Neodiprion lecontei: one gene and its partners. The protein of the gene in region 2 purifies or fractionates together with the protein of the main gene of each other region. This does not show direct contact. Links are inferred from orthologs where the notes say so. Each region holds a gene or a part of one and is shown on either strand. Other genes may lie near its edges.

Evidence for each region.
Region 1: the proteins of pre-mRNA-processing factor 19 (region 2) and pre-mRNA-splicing factor SPF27 purify together in Homo sapiens (co-immunoprecipitation; 10 studies listed by BioGRID and IntAct, counting the BioPlex papers as one, with this or other methods). This does not show direct contact. The link is inferred for Neodiprion lecontei from reciprocal best matches to the Homo sapiens genes PRPF19 and BCAS2.
Region 3: the proteins of pre-mRNA-processing factor 19 (region 2) and U4/U6 small nuclear ribonucleoprotein Prp3 fractionate together in Homo sapiens (co-fractionation; 3 studies listed by BioGRID, with this or other methods). This does not show direct contact. The link is inferred for Neodiprion lecontei from reciprocal best matches to the Homo sapiens genes PRPF19 and PRPF3.
Region 4: the proteins of pre-mRNA-processing factor 19 (region 2) and beta-catenin-like protein 1 purify together in Homo sapiens (affinity purification with mass spectrometry; 4 studies listed by BioGRID and IntAct, counting the BioPlex papers as one, with this or other methods). This does not show direct contact. The link is inferred for Neodiprion lecontei from reciprocal best matches to the Homo sapiens genes PRPF19 and CTNNBL1.

Annotation. Positions count from the first base shown.
Region 1 is NC_060265.1:27,625,214-27,628,753, forward strand, and holds pre-mRNA-splicing factor SPF27, read right to left. Parts: upstream 1,790-3,540; 5' UTR 1,690-1,789; coding exon 1,615-1,689; intron 1,523-1,614; coding exon 1,257-1,522; intron 1,119-1,256; coding exon 719-1,118; 3' UTR 542-718; downstream 1-541. Other genes in the region: 60S ribosomal protein L4, read left to right, coding at 2,160-2,162, 3,020-3,197, 3,362-3,540. UniProt on the Homo sapiens protein: Required for pre-mRNA splicing as component of the activated spliceosome. Component of the PRP19-CDC5L complex that forms an integral part of the spliceosome and is required for activating pre-mRNA splicing.
Region 2 is NC_060262.1:22,972,716-22,980,656, forward strand, and holds the start of pre-mRNA-processing factor 19, read left to right. Parts: upstream 1-1,929; 5' UTR 1,930-2,116; coding exon 2,117-2,135; intron 2,136-2,353; coding exon 2,354-2,503; intron 2,504-2,607; coding exon 2,608-2,885; intron 2,886-3,324; coding exon 3,325-3,519; intron 3,520-3,602; coding exon 3,603-3,758; intron 3,759-5,452; coding exon 5,453-5,683; intron 5,684-5,796; coding exon 5,797-6,137; intron 6,138-6,226; coding exon 6,227-6,371; 3' UTR 6,372-7,941. UniProt on the Homo sapiens protein: Ubiquitin-protein ligase which is a core component of several complexes mainly involved pre-mRNA splicing and DNA repair. Required for pre-mRNA splicing as component of the spliceosome.
Region 3 is NC_060265.1:31,664,853-31,671,741, reverse strand, and holds U4/U6 small nuclear ribonucleoprotein Prp3, read right to left. Parts: upstream 4,896-6,889; 5' UTR 4,694-4,895; coding exon 4,429-4,693; intron 4,204-4,428; coding exon 3,992-4,203; intron 2,529-3,991; coding exon 1,742-2,528; intron 1,457-1,741; coding exon 1,099-1,456; intron 1,025-1,098; coding exon 625-1,024; 3' UTR 541-624; downstream 1-540. UniProt on the Homo sapiens protein: Plays a role in pre-mRNA splicing as component of the U4/U6-U5 tri-snRNP complex that is involved in spliceosome assembly, and as component of the precatalytic spliceosome (spliceosome B complex).
Region 4 is NC_060261.1:30,287,679-30,293,203, forward strand, and holds beta-catenin-like protein 1, read right to left. Parts: upstream 3,880-5,525; 5' UTR 3,644-3,879; coding exon 3,614-3,643; intron 3,313-3,613; coding exon 2,933-3,312; intron 2,860-2,932; coding exon 2,528-2,859; intron 2,377-2,527; coding exon 2,153-2,376; intron 2,066-2,152; coding exon 1,883-2,065; intron 1,797-1,882; coding exon 1,649-1,796; intron 1,563-1,648; coding exon 1,396-1,562; intron 1,216-1,395; coding exon 1,032-1,215; exon of another isoform or gene 923-1,031; coding exon 834-922; 3' UTR 520-833; downstream 1-519. UniProt on the Homo sapiens protein: Component of the PRP19-CDC5L complex that forms an integral part of the spliceosome and is required for activating pre-mRNA splicing.

The DNA of each region.
Region 1 (3,540 bases), on a different chromosome or scaffold from region 2:
AAATCGCTTTGTAATTATTATATATTATTTTGACGTAACGTATTTATTAGTTAATTATGACGACTAATTATCGTTGTCGATAATAAAATACAAAATTGCATACTGTGCGTACTTGCGTAGATACTTGCGTAATTTAAACATATGATAGATCTGTGGATAATTGTGACTATGTTGCAAATCAAAAAATGTTTTTTATCACGAAACAACTTCTCATTCTCTCATATACATAGTATATATAAATGTATACATATACACTATTACTAAATAATTACAAAATATTAGTTAGTCATTTTGATTTGTAAATATGTATATTGTAGGCATACTCGAAGCGTGATAAATGTAGACTACGGTTAAATAAAACGTGCTTTATAATAAGTCTGTCCTATGTATCTAAAAACTTCCGGTACAAAATCGTCCAAACACAATAGCAACATTTTTCATAAGAAATTTATTTCCATTAACAAGTTTAGTGCTCGTATCTACTGGGAAATATTTTACGAAGCATCTGGATTAAATATTAATAGAATGTGGGTAAACTAAATTTTTGAAATTCGATCATACCTTTATTCTGAAAAAGTTACGTATAATAAATACTCTGATTCACAATCACTAGAATGTATCAGAATCGAAATTTATAAAATTCGTCAGTTACAATTAGCATCTTGCTTACACATCAAATTGTTTTACATTTTAACCACAATCATTAGTTGTCGTTTTGTCACGCAGGTCGAGGTTCTTCTGGTGTAGGTTCCATGGCCGTTGTCTCAGTGGCGTTGTCTCCTGGAATATCTGGTTCTTGTTCTTCCCCGGGGACATCGCCAGCCTCTCCACCAGTGTGTTTTAAATATTTATACCGGTGTATCTCCTCCTCAAGGTGAACACAGGCTTGTTCAATTTCATAATTTTTAGACACCAATCCCACCCATTGAGCCTCCAAAGCTCTCAACTTCTCGCCACCTTGGGTTTGCATCGATTTCCTCTGCCAATTTACTTCCTGGATCGTTTTTCTCAAGCCCTGAAGCTGTTTCTGCGCCTGCGAAACCAGCTGCATCAGAACTTCCAAGTAACACTTCCAGGCCTCACAGCCGTAATCCATCATCAGCTCCAAATTACAGATTCTATAAAAGTAAGAAATGTTTATTTTTATTTTGCAATAATGGAATGTGCAATGATGTCTGAAATATTTCAGTGATGAACAACTACGATACAAGGGTTTATTTCAAGTCTTCCCAATTGCGTGTAAGTAAATAATTCACCGTGTAGCCTGATGTTCGAGCTGAGCCATGCTATTTTCCACACTCTCGTTCCAAGCAGCTATATCATTCATTTTTCCAGGAGGTGGTGGTGGGAGTTCGTACCGCTTCATGCTAAGTACTTCCATTGGAAGGCGAGATTGGAGCCTCTCAAATTCGTGTTTGATCACAGTTGTTTCAAAGGCATTCAGATTGAGAGGCGGCAGGTGTTCCAAGTAATTTTTTGTCGGTCTGTAACGGCGAGTTTCTTCCTCGACCATCGCCAAAGCCTGAAATACAACGTTGAAACGTAACCTCAAAAGTGAAAATTACATAAACAAATGATTCACACGATTATACGGTCAGGAATATCATCTCTCACCGCTTCTCTAACTCCGGGTTCGTCATATCCTTGATCTATATACGGCAAAGCGTCCACAACTACCTCGCCTGCCATTATTCCTACCGTCACTATACTTGCGTATTTTTTAGGCTAACCGAAATCAAACGCGATCGAACTAAACAAATGTCAGTGACGTGTTGACGTTCATTGGCCGGAATCCGTTTCGAGACTCGTGCGAACCCCGTGCCCAGTGAATCGCTGCGTTTCCAACACGAGACTCGACCAAATCGGTTGTTTATTGTAATATCTACAAATTCTGAGTACAAAATTATTCGCCGAGGATCGCACTAACTAGACGAAATCGTTATGCAATCCCAATTTTTTTTATTTCCTCTTTCCGTGCGACTTTACTCTGAATTTGAATAATCGCGGGGTAGTCAACATTGCGAGTCGAACTTTGGCGCATGCCTAGCATGGAGTTCATCAGCTTCCGCCCTCCTTCTTCTTCCTTTAGGACCAGGCGAGGCGTGCGAGCAGCCTGGTTGGTGTTTTGCTAATGAATTGAAAGTTGTAAACTCGTCAAGATGGTAAGAAACTCAAAATCTAAATTATATTTCGCGTACGGTTCCTGCTAGTTGATTACCAGTTTCAATCACATCCTTATTTGCAAGGGAAATCAAAGATATCAGTCGTAATGTAGTGCCGTGTGTGTCGACCACGTGTAGAATCCCTTCGATGTTGCGGCTAATTTCATCGTTACGCATCAAGCGTCGTCCGATTTTAACAGAGTGTGCAGTGCTACCCAAATATTCGTTATTATGTCTCGAATTCGTACTATTAGAGCATCTTCTCTTAGGTTAGAAACTTCCCCCTCGTTCACCGCCGCCGCCATCGCCGCCATGTGCATGTCATTAGATTTCACCGGATAATTCACCCGACATGTCGCATTCTTATAACTCCAATCGCCCACGGCGTCGCGGTTCACTCTCTGAGTTATTAAAATCACCTAACTACGGAAATAGATCGAAATCCGAATACGCAGATTCTCTTATCTCATTATCGGGTTTTCGTACTTCCTATCAAATCCATCAATTTTGCTTACAATGAGTGAAGTCAACCTGCGTCTAACGTCTTCATATATTTCTCAATACTGCAGTACGTTGTTGTTACATTTGAGTGTAAACCCTGTGTCAACTCATCGATGATTATAATGCCGATTTTGTTGAAGAGGTATCGGATAATGTACATAAATTCAATGCTGTTCAATTCATCTTGTTTGCTCACCTAACATGAAATTAACATTTCAGTCACTTAAATATCTCTGAGACTTGGTAGCTGGTGGCTTTGTTACTTTTTGATAATAGTCACTTAGAGGATTATTAACATTTAACATAGAGCTAAAATCATGTGTAATCTGAAACATGTGTTCTTTTCTATATTTCAGTCGTTATCATCAGCGCGTCCCCTTATTACTGTGTATAGTGAGAAAAATGAACCTAGCGGAGAGACGATCTCTCTTCCTTCAGTGTTCAAAGCACCCATCCGTCCCGATGTGGTGAACTTTGTACACCAGCAGATGTCAAAAAACAGTCGTCAGCCGTATTGTGTATCTAAAGAGGCTGGTGAGTTGTTCAACCAATTATACATTTGAAAAAAAATGTCGAGATATCGAAAGATCTTTATTTTGCACATATATTATCCATTGGAAGTGATTGAATTTTTATTATCATTAAACTGCATTCACGTTTCACCAAAAATTCCATATATTATTGTTCTTGTACCACAGGACATCAAACTTCCGCCGAGTCATGGGGTACCGGTCGTGCTGTTGCACGTATCCCACGTGTTCGTGGAGGAGGTACACACCGTTCCGGTCAGGGTGCTTTTGGTAACATGTGTCGTGGAGGTCGCATGTTTGCGCCAACCAAGCCATGGCGCCGCTGGCACCGACGCATTAATGTGAAT
Region 2 (7,941 bases):
ACTGGAAGTAAGCTACGCTAAATTGCATTGCGAAAAACAAATGATCCGACTGAAAGTCAAGCACGTTGCGATCGTGAATGAGCCTAACCATGCAGCTAAGAAATCGAAGATTTGTGTAACAATTGTTACCGCCACGCCACGTGACAGAGGAATCCCAGGGAAATACCCATAACCTAACACATGCAAACTCACCAGCGTTGCCGAGAAATGGAGAAGTTACTCGGAAGTCTTTGCTTAAATCTGTGAAAAACAAAGCAAGACTTGAATTAATTTAGTAAATTGGCTTTTCAGTTTTCAAATCAATTATCACTGTTGTCGAGATTTATATCTATGCATTGCATGTTACGCAAGAACAAAAGTTGGGTATTAAATGTGCGACCTTGAATTATCAATCAATAATTAAAATAAGTATTGTTACCTCTTATCTGGGTTGCTCCGCAATTTAACGTAGTAGTTCTTGTAGCATCTCAAGTTTATTGGTCAAGCGACGCACTTTTCACATAATTCACATCTTCGCTAATCTCTTATAATCCAAAAATCCGCACCGCAATAACACTAGCACTCGATTCTACATTCACTTTTTGTGCTGTAGCTATCCATTTGAACCGACTGAATAAACTGGCTGACAATGCAACTGTGCATTCGCCGAAAATCAGCTAAAAAAAAAAAAATTGACACTGGACGTACAGAGGCAAAAATACACATCACTGAAATCTGAAGGTACACAAAACAATGAAACCGCGAAACACGAAATTCACCTTCAACGTCCGCAGAATGTTTTTACGTCAGTGACTCGGTTTTTCTTCAGGCTACACGCGGCTCGTCTGTATTATTCACAGATGAGTATGGTGGAAATACGCTTATCGAACAACGTGACACAATCTGAAGAACGTGGTCTGAGCGTGGAACCGATGCCGAAGACCAATAATTTCACTCTGATTTCTCGGAAACGACTGATGTCGCACGGCGCTCGCGCTCTCTCTACCCTCCTCCCGTGGAGTGGGGGTAGCTGCACGCACCGGCCTGCCTGCCCCCCCTCCCCCTCGTATTATGGGTGCAGCGACAGAGAAAGCTGGAGAATTATTATCTTCTGTCCTTTAGAGAAGCGATTCAAATCCGTTCACAAGACGCTTACGCCGTTGCTTACGCTCTATTTCATACATCATAGAGATCAGTGTATACGTCTCTATGGTCTCAATATATTACGCATTACACGTACTCGTATGTAGAATACCAAGAGACGTAGATTACAGAAACCAACTGCAAATCTGTTCAGCATTACAGTTTGAAAGTACAGTAGAACGTCTGATCTGCAATTTGTTGTATCAGTTACGTATTACGCGTAATTCAATCAAATACGCCCCTATGCATGCCGATTCTATAGGAATGGCGTAACTTCTGTTAAATTACTAGAGAATATAATTAGAATAGGCAAGTTATGCTCTACCTATATGCTGATAACCTTATGAAGTATTGAAGACGATTTATCTTGACCTTGATGACTTGTTGATTAATGTTATTCTTGGATATGAAGGTCACAACTCAAAACCCTTTTTTATAGTGTTAACGTTTCAGCTTATGAAGTATTATATAATTATAGGTTATAATAGTCATAGTTATTTACAGCACTTAAATAATAATATTGTAGTTCTGGGTAGCGTGAGGATGCCATAATATGGCTTTACACTCGGATTAATGATTCTCGTTGTTATCTCACATCTAAGGATATTTTCAGTAGTTAGGCGGTTCTTTGAATGATCTGCTTACAAAATTCTTACACTTAATTAAAGTTGGGTTTGTTGGGAGCATGAAGGAAAGCGACCGACTAGCATTTCGATTGGATGTTATACCTAAAACTCCCCGGGACTTTAGTAACACAAAATTATATTCGAGTGGTTACACCTCGGTGAAACACATTCAATGGTTGAGGGTCGTGGGCACTAGACTCTATACAGATTTGATTTCGTTTGTGATTTTGGTTTCTGGGACTTACGTGCAGGTGTTCACGTATATTTTCACTTTATAAAGATTCAGTACAGCTAACAATAAGAACAAAACTGAAGAGGACTTGGGGGACTCTGTTTACTGCTGATCGTTGTATTCATATGTCGTAAATATGGCACTGTCTTGTGCAAGTACGTATTTGTTTATTTCTCGACGATTATAAATTATTTCCGTCCAATAGGCAATCTGTAGCAATGGCCCGGCTTCAGCCTTATTTCTTGAATTTATTTCACCCTCCATTCTTTCAAATTAAACGTAACTGTTTTATACCGGCTCATGAACCCTAACCTGAAAGTTCGCGCGTTTCTTCAACATTATACCGAACTCAAAACCATTAATTTATTTCCAGTTTCCAACGAGGTCCCAGAGCACCCGGTAATCTCTCCGGTTTCCGGTTCTATTTTCGAAAAACGGCTTATCGAAAAGTATGTTGCGGAAAATGGAGTGGATCCTATAAATGGAAAAGATCTTGCAGTTGAGCAGCTGATTGATGTAAAGGGTAAGATCATGACTGCAAAGAAAATGCAGAGTAATAATCATGTCGGCATCATTTTGAAAAATGTTTATTCTGCAAGGTGTATTAATTCTAAATTTTCTGTTCAGCTACGCCTCTTGTAAAGCCAAAACCACCGAGCGCAACATCTATTCCTGCAATTCTAAAGATTCTACAAGATGAGTGGGATGCAGTAATGTTACATTCGTTTACTCAGAGACAACAGCTTCAGACAGCCAGACAGGAGTTGTCTCATGCTTTATACCAGCACGATGCAGCCTGCCGAGTTATTGCTAGATTGACCAAGGAAGTTACTGCAGCCAGAGAAGCACTGGCCACTCTTAAGCCACAAGCAGGCATTACTCAAGCAACTGTTATTCCACAACCGGTAAAACGTTTTGCTGTTGTCTGTTGCTTTCGTCCTTATTTCTATTTGTCGTTAACAAAGTTCTGGCATATTTTAATCCTACATAGCTCAGATTTCATTATGATTTATAAAATTCATGATAAAAGTTGTAAAAAAAGTTGTACAAATTGGTTTGCAATTAACCCAATGAGATTCTGCGTACAGAAATTCTCAGCATGGATAACATATCTGTGTATCTGTCTCTGCCTAGTTTTACTTGATATCTGTATCGAGAGGGTTTACCCAGGATAAGGCTGAAGTTGGTAACATTCGCGTAATGCCAGACAGTTATTATTGTTATATGGTAAAATAGCAAGTTTAAAAAAAATTGCATCATTACAATAACCTTATGAACTTCGACCTTATCCATCAGTTTACATATAAGTTCCATTACTCATCATGCTTACTGTGTCGCATATAGTCTGTTGCAGTGGAAGCTGGTGGTGCGGCAGCTCAACCAACTGAACAAGCTGGCATCACTGAGGATGTTATTCAAAAATTACAAGAACGAGCTACTGTTTTAACTCAAGAACGAAAAAGACGTGGACGTTCTATACCGGAAGATCTCTTACCACAAGAAAGCATCAGGGCATTCCAGACACTTGCTTCACACCCGGTTAGAAGTCCCATTAATTTTAATTTTGAGCAGAAATGTAATTTGTAACAAAATATAATTACGGAAAATGTTTTCACTGACAGGGATTGCATTCCGCAAGTGTACCAGGAATTCTGGCACTTGATATACATGGGGCAGATACCAGCAAAATTCTAACTGGAGGCGCAGACAAAAATGCAACAGTTTTTAATAAGGACACTGAACAAGTAGTTGCTATTCTTAAAGGACACACCAAAAAGGTAAGTAACACCAGAAATAAGCAGTGCTTTTCAAAACTAATCTCGCAGTGTAATATGAATTATTATGTAAGGTCGAAAATTTGTCTACTACTATTCACGATCACAATTTCGTACCTTTTGTATGGGAAGAAACTCGACATCTTTAAGTGACTTTTACTCTATAGATCACATGGAAGTTAGTTTGAGTTTTGATTTTTTTGTTTTTGAGATACTTGCAAAGGAAGTACGTTCACTCAAAATTACCAATTTAGCTGAAGTTTGGCACGAATGTAATACTTTGAGAAGAAAAACAAATGGCGATTGGAAAGCATGCACTTCTTGGCCATTTAGGAGAAGTTTGGTATTGAATTTGAACCTGTTTTTCTATCTGCGAATTAAATTAGTTGATGTATCAAAGCTATTAGTCAATAATGTAAATTTAGTTACTTATATTTCTGAAACCATGAAGAGAGTTAATATTTTATGAGAAAGCATTTCAAACTTACCAAAACTTTAATACAATACACCAAAGGCCGCTTAAGTATTAATTCTTACAAAGGTGACACTCTTAGTCTTCCGTCACTTATTTATGAGCAAAAGCGTGTAGCCAGCTGTACCATACTATACAACCTGTGAACACAGTTTCCCTTAATATTAGCGTAATTATGAAGTAGAGAGGAAAGATCATGAACTTGTGTGGTGGAGAATCTCAAACATAACAAGGATTGACTGCGGACATTGTAGTATTCGACTTATTGATAGCATTTATTTCATCGTGGAATACAACAATAGTCCATTACACCTTTAGGTTGTCATTACTATTTTGTCCTCTGCGTCCGACCTAAATGCCCTGCAGCAAAACAACTCATACAAAACTATCCTGTCATGAATCACCCGAACGGAAGTATCCCAACAAAATTACCCATGTCAAAAATAATCTGCAACAAATACAACCCAGGCCAAAAATAATCAACCCAATGAAGAATAACCCAAAAATAAAATAACCTGTGACAAAAATAACCCAAGACAAATATAATCTAGGGCAAAAATAAGCCGATCAAGAAAAATATGTATTGTTTGTTATCTGTTTGAATATTTTGTTTAAAATAGACTAACGACAAACATTAAATTGAGTCGAATTCAATTAAATTCAATTAAATTCCAGATGTTATATTAACAATTTGTTTATGAGTTTCTATTCATGATTGTTGAATGTCATGTTCCTGCAGCGTGTAATTTTTTAGTGAGAGAAGAGAGTTTTCTTAACTAGAAACAATAAAAATGATGCTCATCATTTTAATAATCTCTGCATTAAGAATTCTACTAATATGTCTAATTTTCTATCACCTTTTGCAACGTGCAATTATTAAGTAACCGATTTCACACTATTCTTTCATTACAAAAATCGTCTTAATTGTATATTTATATTTGTGAAGTTAAATTATAGATCTTACCAGTTACGTTTTTTTGTTGAAAACCTACAAGTTTCCATGATTTACATTTCTTACGATTGTTAATATTTTTTATTAGGTAAAATCGGTGTCTGAAACGTAAAATCAGCATTTTTTGTCCTATATCTTCGGTTTAACATATGTAGCAAAAATCAATATTAATTGAAACTTGAAATGTATCAATTTAGAAAGTATAACATTTCAATAGCACTCAGCAGTTATGGTATTAAGCTTTTGATTTCAAGTATTTTGGAAAATTTTAAGGTCACACGAGTTATTTATCATCCGGAAGAAGATGTGGTTATGACAGCATCACCTGATACGACAATTCGTGTTTGGAATGTGGGAACAAGCCAAACGACACTTTTATTGAGGGCTCATGATGCACCTGTAACTGGCCTCTCACTTCACCCTACAGGAGATTATTTGTTGAGCTCATCTCTGGACCAGCACTGGGCTTTTTCGGACATACGTACTGGCAGACTACTGACAAAGGTCAATAAACGAAAATTCATTCGCTAGTTTCTTAGTTAACAATTTATGATTAATCCATTTTATGGAAAAATGACTTCTACCATCACTTCATTATGGTCCCTTCTCCATCATAGGTAGCTGGGCAATCTGGACAGCCTTTGACAACAGCCCAATTCCATCCAGATGGGCTTATCTTTGGTACAGGAACAGCTGATTCTCAAGTCAAGATTTGGGATTTGAAAGAGCAGTCAAACGTGGCTAATTTCCCCGGTCATTCAGGTCCAATTACCGCTATTAGCTTCTCAGAAAACGGATATTACTTAGCAACAGCCGCAGAAGACTCTTGTGTCAAACTATGGGATTTGCGAAAGCTTAAAAATTTCAAGACACTTCAATTAGATGACTCTTATGAAGTGAAAGATATTTGTTTTGATCAAAGTGGTACATACCTTGCTGTGGCTGGATCCGACATCAGGTGAGCTTGACTGCACACATCAAAAATGTATTTTTGAAAAACTTATTTGAGTATGTATGAATATTTACGATTTTGTTTCATTTTTCTAGAATTTATTTGTGTAAGCAATGGCAAGAATTAAAGGTACTCAACGATCATACGGCAACAGCTACAGGTGTTCGATTTGGGAAGCATGCACAGTATATCGCTTCTACCAGTATGGATCGAACATTAAAGCTCTATGGATTACCTTAAGCCTCAACAAGTACCTATTTAATAATGTGAAAATAAATTATATGATTTCAATTCAAAAAGGCAAAGTTGGTAACTATTTCTTTAGATGATATCAATTTTTACTGATATGATAAGTGTTCTTATATTTTTTGACCTATTCAATTGTCCATATTTCACCACGTATATTGTTGGTATTTACTGTCCGTATTACTGATGAAACAAGGGAAGGCAATGCGTAGTTATGAGCCTGATCACTTAAAGCAGATTCAAAATTATACGTAAGTTGCCTTTTGTGTAACATATTTGTCTTTAGCCATCTTTATATCAAATTACACTTAAAGTACTGCAAGGTGATAAGTTTTGCCTTCCCCATCCATCTAAGATTGAAGTTCATAATTTTTTCATATTTTACTGAATTAGTTATATCCATCCATTTGAACGAGTAAACACACTGTAACTCCAAACCCCGTTAAAATATCAACGATAGATGCTAATGTTTTGATTAAGGAGTCAAACTTTCATTCATGATTATTCATTTTCATTCATATGTCTTAAATGGCTGGCCCTTTTCAAAATGATTTATCAAAAAGTGTTTATTGTTTAAAAATCGCGTGAATTTAAACGAACAATCTTCATTTAGCTCCAACAGCCAGAATTATTTGGACAAAGTTCTGCAATTGAAATCAAAACTCACGTTCGAAATAAAGAGGTACTCCAACTTTAATTTTAATTGAATTTTGATGCCTGGATTGTGAATTTTTCTTAATTAGTATTTTTACAAAAGTTTAGCACTGGAAGTTGAGATTCATATCAAAATATCCATCAAACCTTGGGCCAGAAAATTACTATGAAATTTGAATAAAACTCTTGTACAATTATTTTGATACATCAACGATATAAATGTCTCGTATGAAAAAGGTCTTAAAGTATAAAGAAAAGCTTTCAAATCTTTTACATTTAATAGTATGTAATTGGTATTCTGAATCTGCATTTTCATGATGTGATCGATGTGGTCACTGACTTTTTTTCCATACTTATTATGATTTTGCAGACTCGCAACATTTTATAACATCAATAATTAATTTATAATTCATCTGTTCATGCAAATTCATGGAGAGGATATCGAAATAAAATTTATGTTGACTCCTGAAATTCTGATCAAAGGAAATATGCATCACCAATTGTGGATCATGTAGCCTATGTTTCAAATAGTTGTAATAAATATTTTATACAGCAACTCAATAACACTGTTTTCCGTGCATAATGATTCCTACTGTTTATAGACAGATTTGGGGACCGTCACAACAAAAATTTCTTCAAACTAAAATGACAACTCACCCTTGAATTTGAATTTTTTTAAGAGGATCCTATAATTAGTCTTTACCACCTGAGGAAAAAGGCCCTTAGTTTGTTCGTTATCCGGTCCTATGTATAGTTAAAGGGATGTCCTGGTCGATTTCGACGTTGACGTATATATCACCATGCATCGAAGTCCCCGTATCTTAAACGCAATAAAGGGCTTAACAGCCCCATTCTATGTGCAATTCTGAACAAAAACACTCGCATACATTTTCATCTGGCATAAATTCTA
Region 3 (6,889 bases), on a different chromosome or scaffold from region 2:
CCCTGGAGGCACATCAATTAAAGGGACTCTAAGGAACCGATAACTTCTGACTACGTCTCTCATTTCAGGACTATTTTTCCATGTCATGACTACTGAGATACTTACAGGGGCATCAAGACTATAGATATACTGACCAGCCCCCTGGCACTCAAGCCACATTCCTGTCCCCCGAATATCACCAGCCGCTCCGTGGCGCTGGCAGTATTCTGCGGCGTCTCGCTGCCATCAGCTGCTACCAGCTGCCACTACGGCTAGCTTGCGCCGGCAAGGAGTGTTAGGGCGCAAGAGGGGGGAACACCGAAATATGCCAGCGCCATGCAGTACGAACTATATGTATATGGTGATCATAAGCGCAGACAGTTCCCTATATGAAATGAATAAGAGCGCCAGGGACCTGGTACTGACAGTCAATCCAAGCGACGAAAGCAGATGTTTAACAAGTGATCCTTAGGTACATAATTATGAACAGAAGCACATCTCCTTTCAGTAATTGAATTAGTTTAACAAACTCCAACTTTACACGAAATATGTAAAAATATCTGAAATTGATTATTTATCATTTATTTCTCACCAAGAATTCTACGATTCATTGTTTGTAATATTGTTTCATTACCACACTAGGTTTTAGGTACGTGCATCATCTGTATTGTCTAATACCGCACCACTATATGCTAGATCCCAATAGTGCTCAACTTGATGTTTTTTGAAGTGTTCCCTTGCCATTTTTTCGATTGGGCACACCTTGAATTTTACCTCGCCAAAGTGTCGCTGTTTGCTTGTACCCTCCCAAACCAAAACACATCTATTAGGCACCTCGTTTCCATCATTATCCTTGACGATATCCTCTTCCCATTTTATTCGCCGTACCATCAAACGTTTATACTTGCTCAGTTGTTTAGCTCCACCCTCAACTACGACTACATTGCAGTCGCGAAACAACATCACACACCCGGTCAAGTATAATTGTTTGGCATTTGTTTCCACTTTGAACTTTTTCGATGCATTATTAACTAGATCTCGTATCCTGAAATAATTCATTTGAATATAGTTCTATGAACGTGGCCATCCCCATGTGCAGGGTATATATCAATGGATTACCTGTAAACTGCTACGTGTACTCCAAGGGTGGTATCCTCTTTCAGCTTACGAGCTTTTTTCTCGCGTCGTTGTTCCGCAGTAAGTCGACGCGCCGCGTTTGCATCCTCATGAGCCTTTAATCTCTTTGCCATCTGTTGGCGTACGTGAGCCTCAATTTTTGTGGGATCCTGTACAGCTTCTGTACCCAAGACACGCATTAAATTAGAGATCCTCAGCTTTGGCTCAGGCGGTGGTTCCAAACCCAGGCGGATCTTCTCTTGTTCCTCTTTCCATGCTTCTCGTCGGTTCTGCCGACGTAATTTTTTACGCTCCTTCTTTGTCAGAAATACTGGCATGTAGATTGGCTTGAGAGGATCAGCTGTAAGCAAACGAAAAATAGATCGAAGACAATGAAAGTTGGGGTCATATTATTATACAAGCAGGTAATTCTTGAGCAAATGAAAACTCTGCAGTTACACACATATGTAATAAATATGGTTATTGATAAATAGGGCAAGGATTTGAATTTCTCTGAAGATATTTATTCAAGGTACTGTGAGCTATAACACTCTTCCTTTGAGGATTTCAATTTTCATAATGCAACCGGAAAGCAGCTAAAAGTACTATTACAAACAATCTGATCGTCCAGAGTTTCATAACTTACTTGGAGGCCGCATTTGCGTAGGATGTTCAACCAAGTTTGTAATGGCAGAAAACTTGATTGGCATTTGTTCTTCGTCATCTGTGTAACATCCAGTAATAATAACCGAATCCCACCATTCAACATTGGGCACATCTTCGTTCATGGCCTCGGTCTTGGGGGCAATCAGTGCCAATTTTGTTGCCGAACTGATACCGGTTTTTCTGGCAATTTGTGATATTTCGTTTTGTAATTTTTCCAATTGGGCTTTCATACGTATTCTATCTGCCAACTGTTGAAACTTCCCAGGCTCGTGAAATTTTAAGGCTCTCTTGTTTCTTTGGGCTGGCTTTGCACCGATCCGACTATCAAAAAAATGCGTATCCTGCATCTCCTCTGGCCCCTTAGAATCCTGCAGCTGGGCTTTGAATTCTTCCCGTTTCTTTGCTCGAATATTGGCTTTCAGCGTAGGAACTACCTGGGTGAGTTGAACTTCTTTTCCTGTAATATCGACTGTTCTTCCAGATTCATCCAATATCAAGGGTGTTGGCTTATCAGGGACTGGCAGGCTTCCCAATAATCCCGAACTGAGTTTATTCCTAATTTGAGCCTGAAGTGCAGCAATCTTCCGAGCTTTGTCAGAATCATTTTTACTCAACAGTCCCTGATTGTACATACTCCCTACGGACGGCATGGATTCGCGAGCTCGGAACAAGGGTCTGACTGGCGGCATATCATCTTGCCGTATCGCCTTTAACGCCCGTTTGCGCTCCTCGATCTCTCTTTGAGCATTCATCATCATTTGTTTTATCTATAAAAAAAAATGTAGCAGAGGAGGAAAATGAGGAGATGAAATTCTTAACCAAGCATTGATGAATGTTAATCGAATGGTGATAAGAAAAGTCAGTAAATCAACTGAATCGATTTAATTGGATGAAAAAAAATTAAATTCCTTAGCGTAAGCGAATCTACATTTCGTGGGTACCATTTTTTTCGTTGATCCAAGTCAGCGATAATGCGACTAACTGCAAATACTTTTGCTGATTTAAACGAATGTATCAGTCGAAACAATAAGAAAATGGTTTCCATACATATGGTAAAATAAATTTATCTACAAACACAAATAGGCTAATAAATTTACCTACTTTCAAATATTTTGTTGGTTGAAAAAAAAACCACGAAACTCTAACGTTCGTGGCAGCTGGGAAAACATAAAGGTAATGAAATCGATGTTTTCTGTGTGTTGAATTAATGACATGAATAAAATATTCATGTCGAGCATTTCATTATTCAACTGTACTATGTCGTCGGCTTTTTCAGTGCAGTTAAATTGTTGAAATATTGATGAAATCCTTGCATTTTGTACATAATCTTTTCATGTCTGCTGGCAATAGCTTCATATCACTGAGATAAGTGTATTTCGTCATTTAAGTGAGCCAAAGTTAACCCGAAATCTATGCGATAGTTTGGCATAGTGGCAACAGATGTACGATTAGGTGGTATGATAAGTATTAGTGAGCAATCCCCGATTCGAATCCTGATCAAAATCATGCAGCCTTTAATCAGAAACTAAAAATGTGATTTATCCAACTTGCAATCAATTATAAGTTATTTGCAATACTGAAAAATCCACCAACTGTCGTAATTAGGCTAAAAATTTTATTTTCATTTTTGATCAGAACCTTTTCAAATGACTGCAGGACATCCTTTCATTCCATGATTCAGTCTCGTCAAACGAAATATACAGTAATTCTAATAAAACATAACCTTACTTTATAACCTGAGCATTTTTTTATCTGAATGATATGAGACTCAAGTTAACAAGTAAGTTGTTTCAATAGATGATTGAAACACTATACTGAACTGAATGTTCAGTTGCTTGTACCTAGCTGTGATTTTTCCAACCGAATATTCAGTTCCGACGACTACAATTTTTTGAAACAAACAGAACATGATCTTGCATTCATCAAACATTTGTTGGATCAAGAAGTAGGATATTCAGATTAACAAAATGATTTTTATATCAACTATAGAATAGAGATCGTTCAACTTAATATTCCGTTGACTGTACATCCTCTTACTTGTGTTAAGTAATAATAAAGTCAACAGAAGTAATTTTTATTTAGTTTGAGCAGCTTATAAATTGTTGTAACCAAATATTCGTATCGCCGTCCGTGAATGCCGCATTTAGTTGATCGAAACAATTTTTGTGATACAAAGCATTTTTGCCCTCAGTTCGGGTACTAGACAGTGGATTTATAAACTTAAATGTACCTTGTCAGCAGACAATTGTGCTTCTGTAGGTTTTTCGTTCATGAAATCGTCTTCTTTTGTTTTCGGTTTCTTTGCATCTCTGTCCTTATCCTTGTCATCGGTATGAGGACGTTTCTTACTCTTTTGGTTAGCTTTGGTGTCATCGTATATTGAAAATATTTTTTCCATCAACTTGGTAGCCTTCTTTTCTTCCAAGAGTGCCGAAAGTTTGTCTAAAACATAAATTGTCACATACCACATATACAAGTTGTAAAAAAATGTTTTGACATGCCATCAGAAGATGAATACTTATCTCTAGTAAATTGACTAAACGCTAGGTAGTAGCGTTTCATTGAAAACTTGAAATCACTGAGTGAAAAGGATAAATGAATGAGCGACACAGTTCAATGGTTATAGTTGTAGATCAGTTCGAATGTCGGTGATATAGAGAAACTTACCAGCAGTTTTACGCTTGTCGTAGCCCGAAGTGATGCAGTTTATAGCGGTAGTAACAATTGACGGCTCTCCAAAACCCAGAAACTTATGTACTGCCTTCTCTATTTGAGGCTTCATATCATCTATCTCTTTGCGGGTTAGATAAGCCATTGTAATAAGTTGTGCAACTGGAATGTCAAGAAGTAGCAAAAAGTCAATTTGAAAACTGCAAAGAATTACTCGTTGAACCCCAAAGAGAACAAGATACGGACGACGTTGTTGTATCATTCAGCCCGCACGTGAGTAACCGAAAAGTAAGGCAGGGTAAAATGAAAAATACATTCCACACAGAAAACACTTGATAAGAGTCTTGACCGTGACAAAAACTGCTTAGACCGCAGAGGTTAGATTTGTACTAAAACCAGCCATGTTTATACTATGGGTGTATTCCGAAATATACTCGCAGTACTGCAAGTACTAGCAACCGCGTTCCGAAACCGCGCGACAGCTTCCTGCCGCCAGTCTGTGACGTCTGAAATTTGTGACGTATTGACTGTGACTACTACGGTCTGGGACGTGAGGCAGTTGCAGTACTTGAGAGATGGCCGCGTCCTCGGTGTAGCGTTCCGCTTTTTCTGCAACTGGCAACTCGAAGTAAAAACGGAACGCAGTTCGCAGTTGACTGCGTGACGTCACGGTCGGCAGTACTGGAAGTACATTTTGGAATACACCCAAATCCCGAGATCGCTAGAAAGAGATGGCAGTATATCAACTGCGGGTGTGAGACTAAGATAGCACCAAAAACGGTGGAATCGAAGTTCTGGGGGCTTATTACGGTTTTTGGATTGGGTGAAAATGACGAATGTGAGCGGCTCACCCTATTTCGGTCAATCTCACCTCCTGAAAGTGCGAGTTTCCTCGCGCGAGCTGACTTGACACAAAATTTGATGTGAGAAGGTGAAATTGAAGTGAGTTACACCCGTATTCATAGTCCTTCCTTGACAGCACAAGGAGCCTTATTGGCCTCCTTCTTTCAAAGCAGATCTCGAGCTTCCTTGAGGAAAGCTTCGGCACTGCGATTGGCAGTTTCGTTTTATGTAGCCAACGCTTGCGCTTGCGCTTGGCGACTATGCACTTATGACCCGTATGACGCAGAGATCACAGCTAGTCTACAAGTTAACCTCTTTGAAGTTATACACTCTCATCAACCGACGCAAGTTGACAATGAGAGCCAAGCGGTTTAAGTTAGATTTAAATATAACCGAGTGACGCTTCGATCAGCAGTTTTACCACCATAAGCAATCACATATCCCTAAATATGTCTTCCCTCCTGGAAGGGAGAGCCAAGTTGTGACTATGAAACGAGGATGCCTCTGAGATTCAAGGAAGCCTTCATCAAGGCGTCCTTTACCCTTGAGATAAGGAGCGACTATGAATACGGGTATAAGGCTGCCGTCCCATGGTCCGGAATTTGTTCCGTCTCCACGAACCCTGAACCCAGTGACTTTTCAAGCCCCAATCGGAGGCGTTCCGGCTCCACTGATTTACGGGATGCATTTTTCCTACTGTCCCATGATACGGAAATGACACACACGGAACGATCGCCGGCAAATTGCGATTGTTCCTTTTAGCGCTGAATTTGAAATGCACTACTGTGATTGGGTGTCGGCACTTCCGGGCCTGTGCATTCCGTGTCATGGGACACCCGATGCTGACAGAGACGGAATCGTATTACTCACACAAGCATATGTATTGTTTACATGCTTACGTTACATGCTTACGTTAGGCTGCAAATAAGAGGTTATGATATGAATATTCTCGAATTATAGGTTAGAAATTGGGTGATATTAGGTCAAACGTGACGCAAGTTTTAATTATTTCCACTTCAACAACTACAACGAACAATTAAATAAATGAATTTCGTATTCTGAAGAATTTTATACTTACAGGACCTGACGAATTCAGTTTTTTCTTATGTTACGCACCCACACACACACAGATACAGAGATTTGTTTGACAGTTCGCAAATACTGGTAATGCACACGGAACGGAATGTCCGGAACACTTCTGATTGGGGCTTGAAAAGTCACTGGATTCCGAGTTCGTGAGACGGAACAAATTCTGGACCATGGGACGGCTGACGCACACTTGTGACGTCGGAACGGTACCTAGTGGAAATCTCCAGATGTTAGACACCGGAAACATTCACACGCAGCTACAGCCAGACTCACATCAGTAGTTTGGGTCACCAATTACCGATTAAGTATTGAAATACACCGGACAACGGGCATTCTGTCGCTCTAGTCGAACGAACCGAAGAGGGAGAAATTGTTGGATAAAAGATTTAATTTGGCTTACCTTTTTGAGAGTATTCTGGATGCGATGACTTGTAGATTGGTGAGAGGTTTTAGTGGAATAACTGACTTTAATATTTGGATATTTTGACTAACTTGGTTTATTTTATAAGTTTGATATTTAAAAGTC
Region 4 (5,525 bases), on a different chromosome or scaffold from region 2:
AGCACCTACTGTGTACTCCGCTCAAATGTAAATAAAATCATATTCGTTTAAAACTTTAAAAAATGGTCTGATATGATTAACGAAAATTTTCGACTTTTTTTTCACTCGGTAGATTTGCAGTAGCAAATTGCAGACCGTCTGAAGACAATTATAATTAAATTGTATAGAAGCCTTGTCATTCTTTCATCATCGAACCAAATCCATCCTCTCACAAATAATGATTCAAAATGTTAAAAAATATAAGTTGCAGCAACAGTGAAGAACAAAGCAGAAAGGCATTACAACAAATGTTGACTACAACTCATAGTACAGATGACTGTCAACTGATGAAGCGACGCTTCTTTTCAATTTTTGTGGCTTATTCGAGAAAAATACAGAACTACCAAAGCTGTAAATGTAAGTATGTTATACATACCATTCTTTAATCCTGATTAATGATGAAGTAACGAACTGTAGGGAACAGAAAATGACGTAAAAATTATAAGAATAATATATGGCAAGATTATGTATGTAGACATATTATGACTCACTTCGATTTTATTGGCATTGAGATGCAAGATAAGCTGGTCAGTAGGAGTTACACTGATAGAATCGCAACAAAACTACCTACAAAAACAGCGCATCACGTTTACTGACAATTCATTCTTATTAACGATGTAAATTAAATGCAAATGTGATTAATACTACGTGATTGCAATAATCTGTAAATTTTTCGATTTTAGCCGATGTACAGTGGATTTTTCTACATCTCTAATTACGTGTGAACACGATTGGGTAATGTGTGAGAATCCTCTGATGAATGTAAAGGGTGAAAATCGCGAGGCAGGTAGACATCAGAACTTGTCGATCAATTGCAAAATATGTTGCTGTTCCGCCTCTCTCCACTCATTGTCACCAGCATCACCAAGATTACCCGCATATTCTGTAGAAATTAAGAAAAGAAACGATTTCTATGTTGTCTCCTTCATATTGTAGAAAGAGAGAAAAGGGTATTGGGAGTGCGAATTCACAATATGAGCTGTCTATTCTACCTCTCATAATGTGCCTTATGGTTTTGAGAGATGCTCGTCTTTGTGCGAGAATTCTCGTTACACGTTGTTTCACTGTTGGTGGACAGCCAGTACAGGCTTCCAATAAAACGTAATCTACTAACTGGAGAATGAATAATCCTCCGTCCAGTCTCCTCATGTAAGATTCTTCCTCTTCTTCGTCATCCTGTAAATTAGAAATTTTAAATAATATCAGGAATAGAAAATATCCACTGATTAAATCCCACACATACACAAATTTGTAGTGATTAAAAATTAGTATAATCAAGGTAAGTAATGTCAGTTTTGATATTAATTTATAGATTATTACAAAAGTGAACAATAGCTAGTTATAGTTACGACTTGCCTTTGTATCTCTTTCGACCTCCTCTACTTTTTCTAGGTATTTAAAATGAAGCTCCATCAGTCTGTCGACTTTTTCAAAATCGTTTTCTGTGAATTTGCTTATCAGACGCTGTCTCTGTGCTCCTTTACAATTCCTCAGCATACTTGCGATAATGGAAACGACGTGCTCTGAATAAATACATGGTGGTGGGAACAAGACAGAATGGTGAGTTCAGCAGGAGGGGAACAGTAGTAAATAAAAATGATGTAACTACCTTCATGCTCTTCCGTTGTGAGTATTTTCTTTCGATTCTTAGTTGGTGTTTTCATGAACAATGGAAAAATTGTTCTTAATCCCAGTATATCTACGAATTTCATGCAATTGTCCTTTCCATCTGGCCCATTCATAGCGTGGTCCAGTACCTGTAATATAAACCCCTGTCTAGAAACCGGAAATCTGCGTCAATGGCTGTGACAACTTTCCATAAATTTCTCAATATACGTGGTACCTTTAGAGATCCATTACGAGACATTTTCTTCTCACGTAACATTAGATTCATGAGCTGGAGTCCTTCGCCACGGAGGAAGCGTTCTCGATTTATCGTTGCCATTAGACTGGAGCACAAAACATTGAAAAGATTCTCCATCATTTCTTGTTCTTCCGCTGTTCGAGGATCGTGACGCTTGTAGAACTAAAGGATTACAGTGAACGGGTTTGCATCTGTTATTCTTTCATCGAGATTAATTCCAATATAGTTAGAAAACAGCAAAACCCTTACAGCGAGTTGTTGTAAAAGAGCATCTATTCCATCCAAATCCCCAAGCAGCAACCTATTCTCAGGTGTTTGTTGAACAAGTATGGACAGCAGTTCACTGGCATATAGCTTATTTCCATCAAATGGAGCCTTCACCTTGATTCTTCGTAGTAGCCACTGGAGGAGTCCTTGTTTACCTGCATCTACGCAGAGGTCTGGTCTGAACTCGAGCAGATTTTCGAATATGGCTTGAAAAAAATTAAGGAATAACCCTTTAGGTAAAGGTGACAACTAAGATCAAAAATAAATATCCCTAATAATTTCATGTCCTAATTGAACTTAGATCAACTTTATACGTCCATATTGTAATAATCATCTTGCTGTCTTATTGAATATTACCCAAAGTATTGTGAACTCCGTCGCTTTCTTCCTTTACACTCTCATCAAGCCTTTCTAAATTTTGCACTAAAAGGGCACATACTTGCTGTTCCAGCAACGAATCTATAAGGATATCTGCACCCTCCTGGCTTTCATGCAAAATATCAACATCTGTAAGCTCTTGCAGCAGATCAGCCACCCCAACAGCAATGTCTGTATTTTCATGAGACAGAAGCTCTAGCATGGAAGCCACAGCACCAAGTTCTACCATTATCGGGTAGAGATCTGGGGCTGTTGCTACTACATTTAGTTCTTGCAATGTTTCATGTAGCTCCAACTCAGATTCCATGAACCTAGAAAAGACAGAATGGTAAAATGACATTTGGTAGTTTGTTTTCACAAATAATTGGGTAAATGCTAACTCACTTTTCTGGTTGATCTGGAAATTTCACCCGCATCTCTTGATTCCGAAGAGCTCGTTTTTCAAACAACAGAATCATTCGCTTTAGCGTGGCTTCATCTAAAGCTTCAACCTCTGCTGCTTCCGTCTCTACATACTTGATAATCTCTTGTTTTTCTTTTTCTGTCAACTGAGGTTCGACAACATCATTGGCTGGAGCTGGAAGTGCAGCTCTGATTGGTGTAGGAGGTTCTTTGCTAACAGCTGGAGTGAGATCACCCTCATTAATCTGTCGCTGACGAGGATGATATGGCGTTTTAATCACACGCTTTGATCGTTTAGCATTTTCCCAGTTATCCTCATCTTCTTCATCTCCATGTACTGGTCGTTTCGGTGTATTGGGTGGCTAAAAGTTAATTCCTTACATAAAACCCAACCTACTCCAACAGAAATCATCATAACTTGCAGGTTTATCAGCTAATGACAGTAATGCAGTGAGCGCACCCTTATCTAACGACGATAACCACCAGTGTCTCAGAGATTGGCAGGTTATGTTACTGACACACACTTGTAGTGTGAATATCGTTAATAAGTAGCTTAAGTATAGTAACGAAAGTAATACAATAAGCGTAAGAAACTTTACTGTTCAGATTGAAAACTAAACATCACCTAACTTTGGTAACCTTTAAAAATACTTGAATAATTACCTTGTATGATAATAGTTCACCGATATCCATATCGAAAACTGTTTGTCTCGATATTTTTAAATCACAGCTACTTAATTTTATGTTAATAAGTAAACGTGATAATTAACCAATAACAGAATAAAGCCATACATGGTAATTGTGTATAACCCTAGTACATAAATCCTGATGTGTTGATTAAAGACTATGTTCTTCAGTGACTGACAATGAGTCTATATTGGTACTCTCCGTATTACCATGTGTATACATACTTATGCATAGGCATACATTATTATCAGCTAGGTTGAATTGGGTTGAATCAGGTTAGGTTACAACGGGACAAATGGAACTTGGAACGGAACAGGACGGCAAGTGGTGAATGGTATCGAGCGTGAAAAGTGAATATCGATAAGGCGGCAAACAACGGTGAAATACATTCAACAGTGAGATATTTTACGAGTTTTTATTGCAGCTTTCATTCATGATTTGGTCAGCAACGACCTTCGGACTACGATACATCTAGATGACACGTCTAGATCAACCAAATGCTCCAACACAGGCAGATTCGCAAGAACTGAATGCCGAATTGCATTTTCCTAGGGCTGGTGATGCATTGATCTGGGCAATTTTTGCGACGCCGAATATGGCACCAGCTGCACTAAAGCATGCGACGGCGAGCGTCGCGCAGCCGGCGTAGCAAAGTCCAACACCCACCAGTCCAGCTTCAACATTAATTACCTCAGCCGAAATAAGGATCATTGTTACGGCTACGATGGCAAATATTGATATCTTCATTTGCTTCTGTGAAATTAATTATTACGGTTGATAAAATACTCAGCAGTGCTTAGGATGGTATAGCTCACTGCATCATTGAGTACCTACGCGTACAGTACAGCACGTTGATGTTGGACCGTGTTTATGGGGGCTCTAAGCTGTCCAGTCTCGTGATCTAGCTCAATATTGAAGAGTTCTACCAGATTTCAAATGTTAATACATCAATGCTTTTTAATTAAATAACACTTTTCTTCTGTACCAGACAGCACAACGTAACAATTATCTTCACGTATCTGTAAGTATCAAAATCAGAACTGAGAATGCTCATGATCTCTTTCACTTTATATTAACACTTGACTAGCTCTCTTATAGTCGTGGGAGTTCCCACCGAACACCAGTGGATTCCCTCAATATACCTTCCAAAGTCACCCGCTCTGTATGGTCTCACTCTATGACATAGAAATCCGTAACTAGAGGGAAGCCAGAGCGAGCCTACACGCTCGTGTTTTCGTGTTCGTGGTTTAGTACCGCTCTTTGACACGAAATAGAGGTTTAGAACTGATTCGTGACGTATTTGGCCGGTAAGCGCATGTTGTATAAAATGGCTTATGTATAAAGATATATGGCTATGCTATCTCAAATCTATATAAACTTTAGAGCGTATACTACTGGAGGCAGTTACTCATTCTGTCAACCTCGCGAAAACTGCGAAAACTAAAGCCGTAGTGATGAGAGAGAGAGAGAGAGAGAGAGAAAAATACATATATATTCGGTATGGTTGTTTCATCTTCCATACGTTTCGCCTAACCAAATGTACAACGACAAAAACATTATATTATACGGATATATATATATATATATAAACATAAATATAAATATATCTCACTCCTGACCACACTACCGTTGCATACATGCCAGTATGTGAGCGAAGCTGCCACTAGCAGCTAGTATAAACGCACACGTATCTAGTCTTGTCCGCTGCGATCGCTGCGATCGCATTTCCAGTTATAATTCAAGCCCGGTAGAGTACAACAGTATTTGTGTAGCTACGAATTGTGTATCGTACGTACATGAATGCACGTAATCGTGGCATCCTTGTTTATCAAATTGGATAGGAAGAAGAAAGATCTACAAAAATTTAGGAACCCTCTGCAAGCACAAA